Linked DNA regions of Saccharomyces cerevisiae S288C. Each later gene encodes a partner of the first gene's protein in a complex. Each region holds a gene or a part of one and is shown in the gene's direction. Other genes may lie near its edges.

Region 1 (3,758 bases):
CAGCGGGAATGTTAATGGCAGATACTTAGAATTTGGTGGAAACGATTTTCTTCTCTAATCCTCATCAGAGGAGAGGTAATCGAGCAAGGGACCACCAAGCTTACCAACAGATGGCTTTGATGAAATATTTTCTCTACTGATATTTTTTTTCACTTTCTTCAATTTTTCTATAAAATCATCACTCTCCATTCCATTATCTAATGGCAATAGTCTTTTCTTGACATTATCAACACTTGCTTCTGGAAATGTCCTGTCTAACCTTTCATTATTCTTATTATTAACCTCAGTGCCAGCACTATTGGTATTGTTATTGATTAGATGCACCATCATGTTTAAAGACTCTAACTTCAGTTCTTCTTGCAGTCTTTTCTGTGCAGCGGGGTCTGGATCTTCATTTGCCCATTTCACCAATAGTCCAGTACCCTCCCTTCTATCATCCCATTCTTTATCGCTGGGTAGCAGCAATGTCTGATTGCTCATGGCTTCTTTGGCAAATTCTGCATTAGCTTGATATTTAAACTTCACAAATCCACAGTTTTTGCTCTCAACGTATCGTATTCTATCAATATCACCCAATCGAGAAAATACAAATCGAATTCTGCTTTCTATCTGAGCTGGCTTCAAATGCTTGCTATTCAATGCTCCATCAATACCACCTACATACAATGTCTTGTTTTTCTTCCTAAATGAACCGATCCCGCCCATATCCTCTCTATAGTCAGCAAATTTTTCTCTACCAAAACAGTCCAATACCTCTGTCCTCAGGGCCAGTTTACCTATATCTTCTTCGTCTGGTATATGATGCAGATATTCACATTTAGGGCCAAGGCAACACATACCCTTTGCAAAAAATAGACAGAAGAACAACTGGCCATCATTATCGCCCCTAGTCTTCCCAGAATGAAGTTGCGGCTGCAAAGCAAATGGACTAACAAATCGTGTATTCCCCGCAAACCCTTGGGACCATTTATTATACCATATATTAAACGTCAATCCAGTCTGCGCCGGTATAGAGGAGGGCAGTTCTGACTCCTTCACTTGCACTTTCGCGGATTTATCCCTCCAAGATGTCATCCAAATTTCTATCAATGCGTATACTGTCTTACTAACGTCGTTACTACCTTAAGGCCCATCGCCAGTAGTCTTTATTATGATCCAGCCTTCAATACATAATGGAAAATTTCATCATTACCCGCATATGTACGTATGTAACGATGGAATGCTCAAAAACTGAAAAAAATTTTTCTGAAAAAAAGTGATGAGGAATAAAGAAAAGTAAAAAACGAATGCATGATATAGTAGTAGTAAATGGTCAATGGATCATTGGGTAGCAGAGAAACGGAAACAAGTGCAGTAAAAATGGGTAAAGACAACAAGGAACATAAGGAAAGCAAAGAAAGCAAAACCGTAGACAACTATGAGGCCAGAATGCCTGCTGTGTTGCCATTCGCTAAACCATTGGCCTCTAAGAAACTAAACAAGAAGGTCTTGAAGACCGTGAAGAAGGCTTCCAAGGCCAAGAATGTTAAAAGAGGTGTCAAGGAAGTTGTCAAGGCCTTAAGAAAGGGTGAAAAAGGTTTAGTCGTCATCGCCGGTGACATTTCTCCAGCTGATGTTATTTCCCACATCCCAGTCTTATGTGAAGATCACTCTGTCCCATACATCTTCATACCTTCAAAGCAAGACTTAGGTGCCGCTGGCGCTACAAAAAGACCTACCTCAGTTGTCTTTATCGTCCCAGGTAGCAATAAGAAAAAAGATGGAAAAAATAAAGAAGAAGAATACAAGGAATCTTTCAACGAAGTTGTCAAAGAAGTTCAAGCTTTATGAAAAAAGTTCGCTTCTTAACCATATTAGAAATCTAGAAGAAATAAAAAAAATCTGGCATTAGATATATATTTTGACTGTAGGCCTTCTGTATATTATATAATACTACTAATAACATCAAATGTTTGTGACTTTTCGGGTAACCGGGCTTCGTTCTACTGTTCCACTTTTTGTATGTTTAATGAAAATATCATCAAAGAAATAGGTATATAATTGATAACAAGAGAATCGCGGGCCGTTGCTACAGGATATTCTGCAGAGTCGAAGAATGAGATTTGTGTTCGATGAGGTTTTCAATTCAGATACTGATTCTCCAGAATTTGAGGAAACATGTTCTACAACATCTTCTACGTCATCGCAATGCCCTACACCTGAGCCGAGCCCAGCAATAAAGTTACCTTCATTCACGAAAGTTGGCACGAAGAAATTGGTAAATGAGTCGGTAGTTATTTTAGATCCTGCTCTAGAAAACGCCTTGCGCGATTTGAACCTTCAATCGAAACTGATCCCCATTAATGAGCCCATTGTAGCCGCGTCATCGATAATAGTACCGCATTCAACCAATATGCCACTACCGAGAGCATCGCATTCGTCATTGCTAGATAATGCTAAGAACTCAAATGCGACAGCACCCTTACTCGAGGCAATAGAAGAATCTTTTCAAAGGAAAATGCAAAACTTGGTGCTTGCCAATCAGAAAGAAATTCAATCTATTAGAGAAAATAAACGTCGTGTTGAAGAGCAACGTAAGCGAAAAGAGGAGGAAGAGCGCAAACGTAAGGAAGCTGAGGAAAAGGCCAAGCGGGAGCAGGAATTATTACGTCAAAAGAAGGATGAAGAAGAACGTAAACGCAAAGAAGCTGAAGCAAAGCTAGCGCAGCAGAAACAAGAAGAAGAAAGGAAGAAAATAGAAGAACAGAATGAAAAGGAAAGACAATTGAAAAAAGAACATGAAGCCAAATTATTGCAGCAGAAGGATAAATTGGGTAAAGCAGTTACAAACTTTGATAAAATCTCCAAAATGTTTTGGCATTATAAAGACAAAATTGCTCAAATAAAGCAAGACATAGTTCTGCCTATAAAAAAAGCTGATGTGAATGTAAGGAATTTGCTCTCACGTCATAAAAGGAAAATTAACCCGAAATTCGGACAATTAACTAATAGCAACCAGCAACTTTTTAAAATACAGAATGAACTAACTCAATTGATAAATGATACTAAAGGCGACTCTCTAGCATATCATTGGATTTTAAACTTTATTGCCAAAGCCGTAGTACATCAGGCGGAAACAGAAGTCAGGGTAAAACCAGAGTCTGCTCTGCCCCTAGGGAAATTGACTTTATATTTGTTAGTCCAATTCCCAGAGTTACAGGAATTGTTTATGGCAAGACTTGTCAAGAAATGCCCCTTTGTGATAGGATTCACGTGTGAGATTGACACAGAAAAAGGCCGTCAAAACATGGGATGGAAAAGAAACAACGAGAATAAATGGGAAGATAACACATCCTACGATGAGAGAATGGGCGGGATCTTATCATTATTTGCCATAATAACGAGATTACAGTTACCTCAAGAATTTATCACCACCACGAGTCATCCTTTCCCCATCGCATTATCGTGGCATATTTTGGCTAGAATATGTAATACGCCACTAAATTTAATAACAAATACCCATTTTGTCATACTCGGTTCGTGGTGGGATGCCGCTGCCGTACAGTTTCTTCAGGCGTATGGGAACCAAGCCTCTAAATTGCTAATCTTGATTGGTGAGGAATTGACCTCCAGAATGGCTGAAAAGAAATATGTGGGTGCTGCGAGATTAAGAATTTTATTAGAGGCCTGGCAAAATAATAATATGGAGTCCTTTCCGGAAATGTCTCCTTAGAAAATTCTGAACTTATATATGCACATTATGCTAATACACTTTATAA
Region 2 (3,758 bases), on another chromosome or scaffold:
GAGGACTTCTTTTTACCAGTAACCAGGTTCCGTATAAAAGTGTCATCTGTGTGCTGTGCAATGACATCATTACAGAGATCCATCAATTCTTGAGGGTCGACCTGATTAATCGCATGCAATTCAAATTTCTCGATTAGTTTTGAAAAATCTGGAATAGACAAATCTTGGCAGTTACTCTGCTCGAAATTTTCCAATATGTGAAACAGTAACATTTTACCACTAGTTGCGGATATAACCTCTTCATGCAATAACTTCAAAAACTGGGCGAAAACCGGAGGAGGCAAAATTTCTTTTGCTTTGGCCAATGGAATTTGTAGCTTGTTCAAATCTCCCAAGAATTCATGGATTATCCAATTCGTAGGTAATTTCGCGTTACTACGTTCACCAGCAAGCTTGGAAAATTCACGGAAGGTGTCTAAGTAGTACGATCTCAACGCCTCATGATTGTACATATCGTTTTGGTTACTATTATAAGTCAGAATCTTGGCGTCCTTCAATGATAATTGATAGGGTTTCTTCATAAGAATTCTCATTATATCGTCCGGTAATTGGGGCATCAACCCTCTCACACCACTGATAACGTCTGGTGCGAGGTTGATATACGGCAATTCTGGATCAGGCATGTACCTGTAATCGATCGTGGTTTCTTTGCTTCTCAACTTCACCGTTGATGAGCCTGTCCAGCCCCTTGTTTCTGGCTCCATCAGTGAGCTAGTGTCACCCACAGAAATCAACTCAACTTGCCGCTGATATTCGTACTTGATTGCATTGATGATGGAACTAGTATTGGGTAAATTCTTCAACTCAACGCGTGCATATTCATTAATTGAGAGGTTAACGTCCACTCGCATGGCGCCCGTTTCCAGGTCCCCAGAGGAAATGTGCAAATGACGTACCAAATTCTGATATTTTTTAATAAACGCTCTAACCTGTTTAATATCACTGAAATCTGGTTTAGTTACCAATTCGATAAGCGGGACGTTCGACCTATTTAAATCAACCAAAGTAATAACGTCTTTATCTGTCTCTGTATAGTGTGACTTCCCCGTGTCCTGCTCTATCTGCAACTGTAAGATACCGATTTCCTTGGCTGATTCATCGATATCATCCAATTCCTTCGACAGATTGATCTTCCCACCCCGAGCAAACGGCCTGTAGTGCTGCGTCAGTTGATAGCCTTGAGGTTGATCTCCATAAAAATAATGCTTCCTATCAAACTGAGATATGCTATTCACTTGAGAACCCAGTGCCAAGGATAGTTTCATGGCAAACAAGATTGCTTCCAGATTCAAAACCGGCTGCGTTCCCGGTAGAGCTATGTCATAATAACTAGTATGATGGTTTGGTGCATCCACTAGAGATGTGGCGCTATTCGTTGATTGTGAAAAAAGCTTGTTTTTGGTGTTCAATTGCGTATGAATCTCCAATCCACACTTCAATGCATATTCCGGCCTGAAGGGTGCACCGTGACTATGTATGGCTTTGGTTCTGGCCAAAGAATAAAAACGTGCAAGCCGCAACATATCTAGTTCCTACTCTGGTCTTTTTGGACAGGAATGCTAACAATAACACTATTACTAGGTGGTACGACTAAGTACATCACGTCAAGCTTATTACTACTATAACTACTATTATCATAACAAAAGGGAAAACTAAACCCTATCTAAACAAGGGTTATTTAAATTTTTAACAAGGGCATACAACAAAAAAATAATAAACCTAAAATCAGAAAGTTAATCTTTCAGGGCTTTTGAAAGTGGAATTAACGTCTCTAGTAAACGAGGATTGTTTCCAATGAGATTCTAAGACCCAAATATCCTCTTCTTTACTTTGAAATGTTTGCAATGGACCATGATTATGGATGTGTTCTTTGTGACACGCTTTCAATGTACTCTATATCGTGTTGCACGAAGGATTGTTACTTTATTTGTAAAAAAAAAAACAATTTTTCGAGATGGGACATTAATATTGTAGAATTCTGAACATATTAGTGAACAGTTCTTTCGGAGAATTACTGGAACCTAGGATCTGACAAGCGGACAAAAAAGCAGAGTGCGTTTATTACTTCTCTTTCTAGCGGTTGTTCATGTTTCAAAGTTTTTTCCACAACAATGGGCCCGCTGCTGCCGGTGAAACGTTTTCAGATAGCAGATCGTACCCTTTAACGAATCATCAAGAAGTACCCAGGAATGGACTGAATGAGTTGGCCTCATCTGCAACCAAGGCGCAACAACAACCTACACACATATTAAACTCATATCCAATTACCGGGTCCAACCCACTCATGAGGGCAAGCGCAATGGGGGCGACCTCTGGCAGCATCAATCCTAATATGTCCAACATGAATGAGCACATTCGTGTTTCCGGGATGGGGACTTCTAAGCCCCTGGACTTAGCGGGAAAGTACATTGACCATCTACAACATAAAGATAGTAACACTCCCGTACTCGACGAACGATCTTATTATAACAGCGGGGTAGATTATAACTTCAGCAGAGAAAAAAACGGCTTAGGAGCGTTTACTCCATTTGAAAAGCAAGATGTGTTCAACATTCCGGACGAGATTTTGCATGAATTTTCCACTTCACAGACAAAAACTGATATGGGTATTTTCCCGGAGTTAAATCGATGTTGGATAACTATTGATAATAAACTGATACTCTGGAATATTAACAATGACAATGAGTATCAGGTGGTAGATGATATGAAGCATACCATTCAAAAAGTCGCCTTGGTAAGACCTAAGCCAAACACCTTTGTGCCTGCCGTGAAGCATCTACTTTTGATAAGCACGACAATGGAGCTTTTCATGTTTGCTATTTCCTTAGACAAAGCCACCAACGAACTCAGTGTATTCAATACACATCTATCAGTCCCTGTACAAGGCATTGATGTAATAGACATTGTGTCTCATGAAAGATCGGGTAGAATTTTCTTCGCAGGCCAAGCCAGTGGCCTGAATATCTGGGAGTTGCACTACTCAGGTTCCGATGACTGGTTCAATAGTAAATGTAGTAAGGTCTGTCTGACAAAGTCTGCCCTATTAAGTCTTCTACCTACTAACATGTTATCGCAGATTCCAGGTGTTGATTTTATTCAGGCTTTGTTCGAAGATAATTCTAACGGTAATGGCGGATTTTCTCAAGAGACCATCACGCAACTAACTATTGACCAACAAAGAGGAATCATCTATTCATTATCCTCCAAATCCACCATTAGAGCATACGTAATAACAGAAAAATCACTGGAAGGACCCATGTCAATTGAGCCTGCCTACATCAGTAGGATCATAGGTACCACGACGGCAAGGGCAGCACCGATTTTGGGCCCCAAATACCTAAAAATTGTCAAGATAAGCTCTGTTGCACCAGAAGAAAACAACAATTTGTTTTTAGTTGCTTTAACAGTAGGTGGTGTGCGTTTGTACTTTAATGGTTCCATGGGCAGATTTAACATCGAAGCTTTGAGGTTAGAATCGATCAAGTTCCCCCCTAGTTCTGTAACTCCTGAAGTCATCCAACAAGAATTACTACATCAACAACAGGAACAGGCGAAGAGAAGCTTTCCTTTCTTTTCAAATCTAATGTCTTCCGAACCAGTCCTCTTAAAATTCCAAAAGAAATCATCTGTATTACTAGAGACTACAAAAGCAAGTACAATTATTTCCCCAGGCATATTTTTTTCCGCTGTGATCAAGTCATCTCAGCAAACTCATCAACAAGAAAAAAAAGAGAACTCATCTGTTACTGGAACGACCG
Region 3 (3,758 bases), 210 kb from region 1:
ACCTTCAGACGCAATTCTTTGACCAAAACGACGAACCGGACCCGTCACTTGGTAAATTTCACTGTACAGAATCACCCCAGGAAACTTAGCTTGTGGATAGCCTGCAATCTTAGGAGAATATACGTATATACGCAGAGTGGTGCCGTATGATGTCTGCACATCATGAAAGGTCTCAGTAATCAACATTGTTTGCTTTATCTACTACCACGAGTTTATTACGGCGTCATTTTCAGTCTGACCCTTCTTTTATATAGTTTCTCCTAGTGAGGTTTTTCCGATAAAATTTCTTCCTGATCTTCACAAAGCATCCAGCAAAGTAGGAAAAAAGCTGAAAACCCGACGAAGGGTACTTGTTGAAAGCCATTGAGGTATTGATGGTTGGTGGTAGTATGCTATCTGAAGATAGGCCACATGATTTAGGTAAAGGAGCTGGCCATCGCTAACTGACTAGTCGTATTCTTCCACATCATGGCAACTTCCTTAATGTATTACCCGAATAACCGCCGAAGCCTCAGGCATTAGAGAAGAAAGAAAAGAACAAAAAGTTATACTACAAAAGGCTCTACACTCCCAGCAGAAAGCTGCCAACTACCGTCAGAATGTCAACTATGTCAACGCCTGCCGCAGAACAACGCAAACTCGTCGAACAGCTGATGGGCAGGGACTTCAGTTTCCGCCACAACAGGTATTCGCATCAAAAAAGAGACCTCGGACTACACGATCCCAAGATCTGCAAGTCATACCTTGTTGGCGAGTGCCCCTACGACCTGTTTCAGGGCACCAAGCAGAGCCTGGGAAAATGCCCGCAGATGCATCTTACCAAGCATAAAATTCAGTACGAGAGAGAGGTCAAGCAGGGCAAAACGTTTCCCGAATTCGAAAGAGAATATCTGGCCATTCTATCTCGGTTTGTTAATGAGTGTAATGGCCAGATATCCGTAGCACTACAAAATCTAAAACACACCGCTGAGGAACGAATGAAGATTCAGCAGGTTACCGAAGAACTAGATGTCTTGGACGTGCGGATAGGCCTAATGGGACAAGAGATTGATTCTTTAATTCGTGCAGATGAAGTCAGTATGGGTATGCTACAGTCAGTCAAATTACAAGAACTGATTAGTAAAAGGAAAGAAGTTGCAAAACGTGTACGAAACATTACAGAAAACGTGGGCCAGAGCGCCCAGCAAAAGTTACAGGTTTGCGAGGTGTGTGGGGCATACCTATCGCGTTTAGATACAGACAGAAGGCTTGCTGACCACTTCTTGGGGAAGATTCATCTGGGATATGTCAAGATGAGAGAGGATTATGATCGGCTAATGAAGAATAACCGGACAACTAACGCCAGCAAGACAGCTACTACACTACCCGGAAGACGCTTTGTGTAGGGCCATACATAAAAAAATGATGCTAGAAAAATTTTGTTCGAAGGAGAGTACTTATGAAAGAAGAAAGGTTTGTGAATATCACACACATACCTCTGCATAGTTTATTTCCCGATAAGGTAGACATATCGTTTCCCTATCTATTTAAGTTTTTTATTCGCTCTCTTTTTTTTTTTTTCTCTGTAACCTGAAAACAAGGAACGGCAAATTAAAATGTTTGGAATACGTTCAGGCAATAATAACGGTGGATTTACTAACCTCACGTCGCAAGCACCACAGACAACCCAGATGTTTCAATCGCAATCACAGTTGCAGCCACAACCGCAACCGCAACCACAACAACAGCAGCAACACTTGCAATTCAATGGATCATCCGATGCAAGTTCTTTACGATTTGGAAACTCACTTTCCAATACTGTAAACGCCAATAACTATAGTAGTAATATCGGTAACAATAGCATCAACAACAACAACATTAAAAACGGCACAAATAACATAAGCCAACATGGCCAAGGGAATAATCCTAGCTGGGTGAATAATCCTAAAAAGAGATTCACTCCTCATACGGTGATAAGAAGGAAGACAACAAAGCAAAATTCTTCTTCTGACATCAACCAGAATGATGATTCATCTTCTATGAACGCTACTATGAGAAATTTCAGTAAGCAAAATCAAGATTCCAAGCATAATGAAAGAAATAAGTCTGCGGCAAATAATGACATCAATTCTCTGTTGTCAAATTTTAACGATATTCCACCCTCCGTTACTTTACAGGATTGGCAACGCGAGGATGAATTCGGTTCTATTCCATCATTAACAACTCAGTTTGTTACCGACAAATACACGGCGAAGAAAACAAATAGGTCAGCTTATGATTCCAAAAATACTCCAAATGTTTTTGATAAAGACTCTTATGTTAGAATAGCAAACATTGAACAGAACCATTTAGATAATAATTACAACACCGCCGAAACAAACAATAAAGTCCATGAAACATCTTCCAAGTCTTCTAGTTTGAGCGCAATTATCGTATTTGGCTATCCTGAATCAATTTCCAATGAATTGATTGAACACTTCTCCCATTTCGGTCATATTATGGAAGACTTTCAAGTATTGCGATTGGGTCGCGGGATTAACCCCAACACCTTCAGAATATTCCATAATCATGATACAGGCTGTGATGAAAACGATTCTACTGTTAATAAATCTATTACTTTAAAAGGCAGAAATAATGAGTCGAATAACAAAAAATATCCAATATTTACTGGTGAAAGTTGGGTCAAACTCACTTATAATTCTCCATCTTCTGCTTTGAGAGCACTGCAGGAAAATGGAACCATATTTCGCGGTTCTTTGATTGGTTGCATCCCATATTCAAAAAATGCGGTGGAGCAATTAGCTGGCTGCAAAATTGATAATGTCGACGACATTGGAGAATTCAACGTTTCTATGTATCAAAATTCCTCCACATCGTCGACATCTAATACACCATCCCCACCAAACGTAATAATAACTGATGGCACTCTTCTGAGGGAAGACGATAATACTCCTGCCGGTCATGCTGGTAATCCAACAAATATTTCAAGTCCAATAGTAGCAAATTCTCCGAATAAGCGGCTGGATGTAATAGATGGCAAATTGCCATTCATGCAAAATGCAGGACCGAATTCGAATATTCCTAATCTGTTGCGAAACCTAGAATCGAAAATGCGTCAGCAAGAAGCGAAATACAGAAATAATGAACCTGCTGGTTTTACGCACAAACTGAGTAATTGGTTATTTGGTTGGAATGACCTATAACAGAAATCGTCCAGCTAATTATTCATGAACATTTACAATACTTCATACATTTATTATTTTGATAACTTTTCAAACAGCATTGTTTTACTTTTGTTTATTGATTTTTACGTAACTGTATATACTTAGACATAATTAAGAAACGTTATCTTTTGTGATAGTTCTTCTTTTTCTTTGGAGAGCGAAGAATGGAATTAATATCATTCTTATTCAATACATTGAACTCTGAGCCTTCAAACCTTTTCTGTCGTGCGCTTAAAGGCGTTTTTCTCAATGGGCTCAGGGATTTCGATGGTCTATTTTGGTCTTGATTCGGCAGGTAAGCTCCGCCCTTCTCTAAATTTTCATTTGACGATGATTGAGCCAAATTGTTATCCAAAACTTTATCCCTATAATATGGGGACATTCTAGGAGAATAATGAAAACCAATGGGATGACTTTGATGGTCAGATACTTGAGAAATGCCTCCATAATCCTTTATTCTGGTTTCACGGGATCCTGGCACACTTTCTGTCATTTTCGGTAATGCCTCAAATTCCCTTTTTTCATAATTATAAACCTCTCTGATTTCTTCGCCAC

The links.
Region 2: GLE1 (region 1) and NUP170 share a complex: the UniProt entries of both Saccharomyces cerevisiae proteins name them as parts of the nuclear pore complex.
Region 3: GLE1 (region 1) and ASM4 share a complex: the UniProt entries of both Saccharomyces cerevisiae proteins name them as parts of the nuclear pore complex.

What each region holds. Positions count from the first base shown.
Region 1 is NC_001136.10:86,153-89,910, forward strand, and holds GLE1 (nucleoporin GLE1), read left to right. Parts: upstream 1-2,095; coding exon 2,096-3,712; downstream 3,713-3,758. Other genes in the region: active spliceosome conformation promoter CWC2, read right to left, coding at 55-1,074; snoRNA-binding protein NHP2, read left to right, coding at 1,360-1,830. UniProt on the Saccharomyces cerevisiae protein: Functions as a component of the nuclear pore complex (NPC).
Region 2 is NC_001134.8:73,173-76,930, forward strand, and holds the start of NUP170 (Nup170p), read left to right. Parts: upstream 1-2,086; coding exon 2,087-3,758. Other genes in the region: glutamyl-tRNA(Gln) amidotransferase subunit PET112, read right to left, coding at 1-1,523. UniProt on the Saccharomyces cerevisiae protein: Functions as a component of the nuclear pore complex (NPC).
Region 3 is NC_001136.10:297,841-301,598, reverse strand, and holds ASM4 (FG-nucleoporin ASM4), read left to right. Parts: upstream 1-1,595; coding exon 1,596-3,182; downstream 3,183-3,758. Other genes in the region: YDL086W (carboxymethylenebutenolidase), read right to left, coding at 1-186; LUC7 (Luc7p), read left to right, coding at 600-1,385; NUR1 (Nur1p), read right to left, coding at 3,325-3,758. UniProt on the Saccharomyces cerevisiae protein: Functions as a component of the nuclear pore complex (NPC).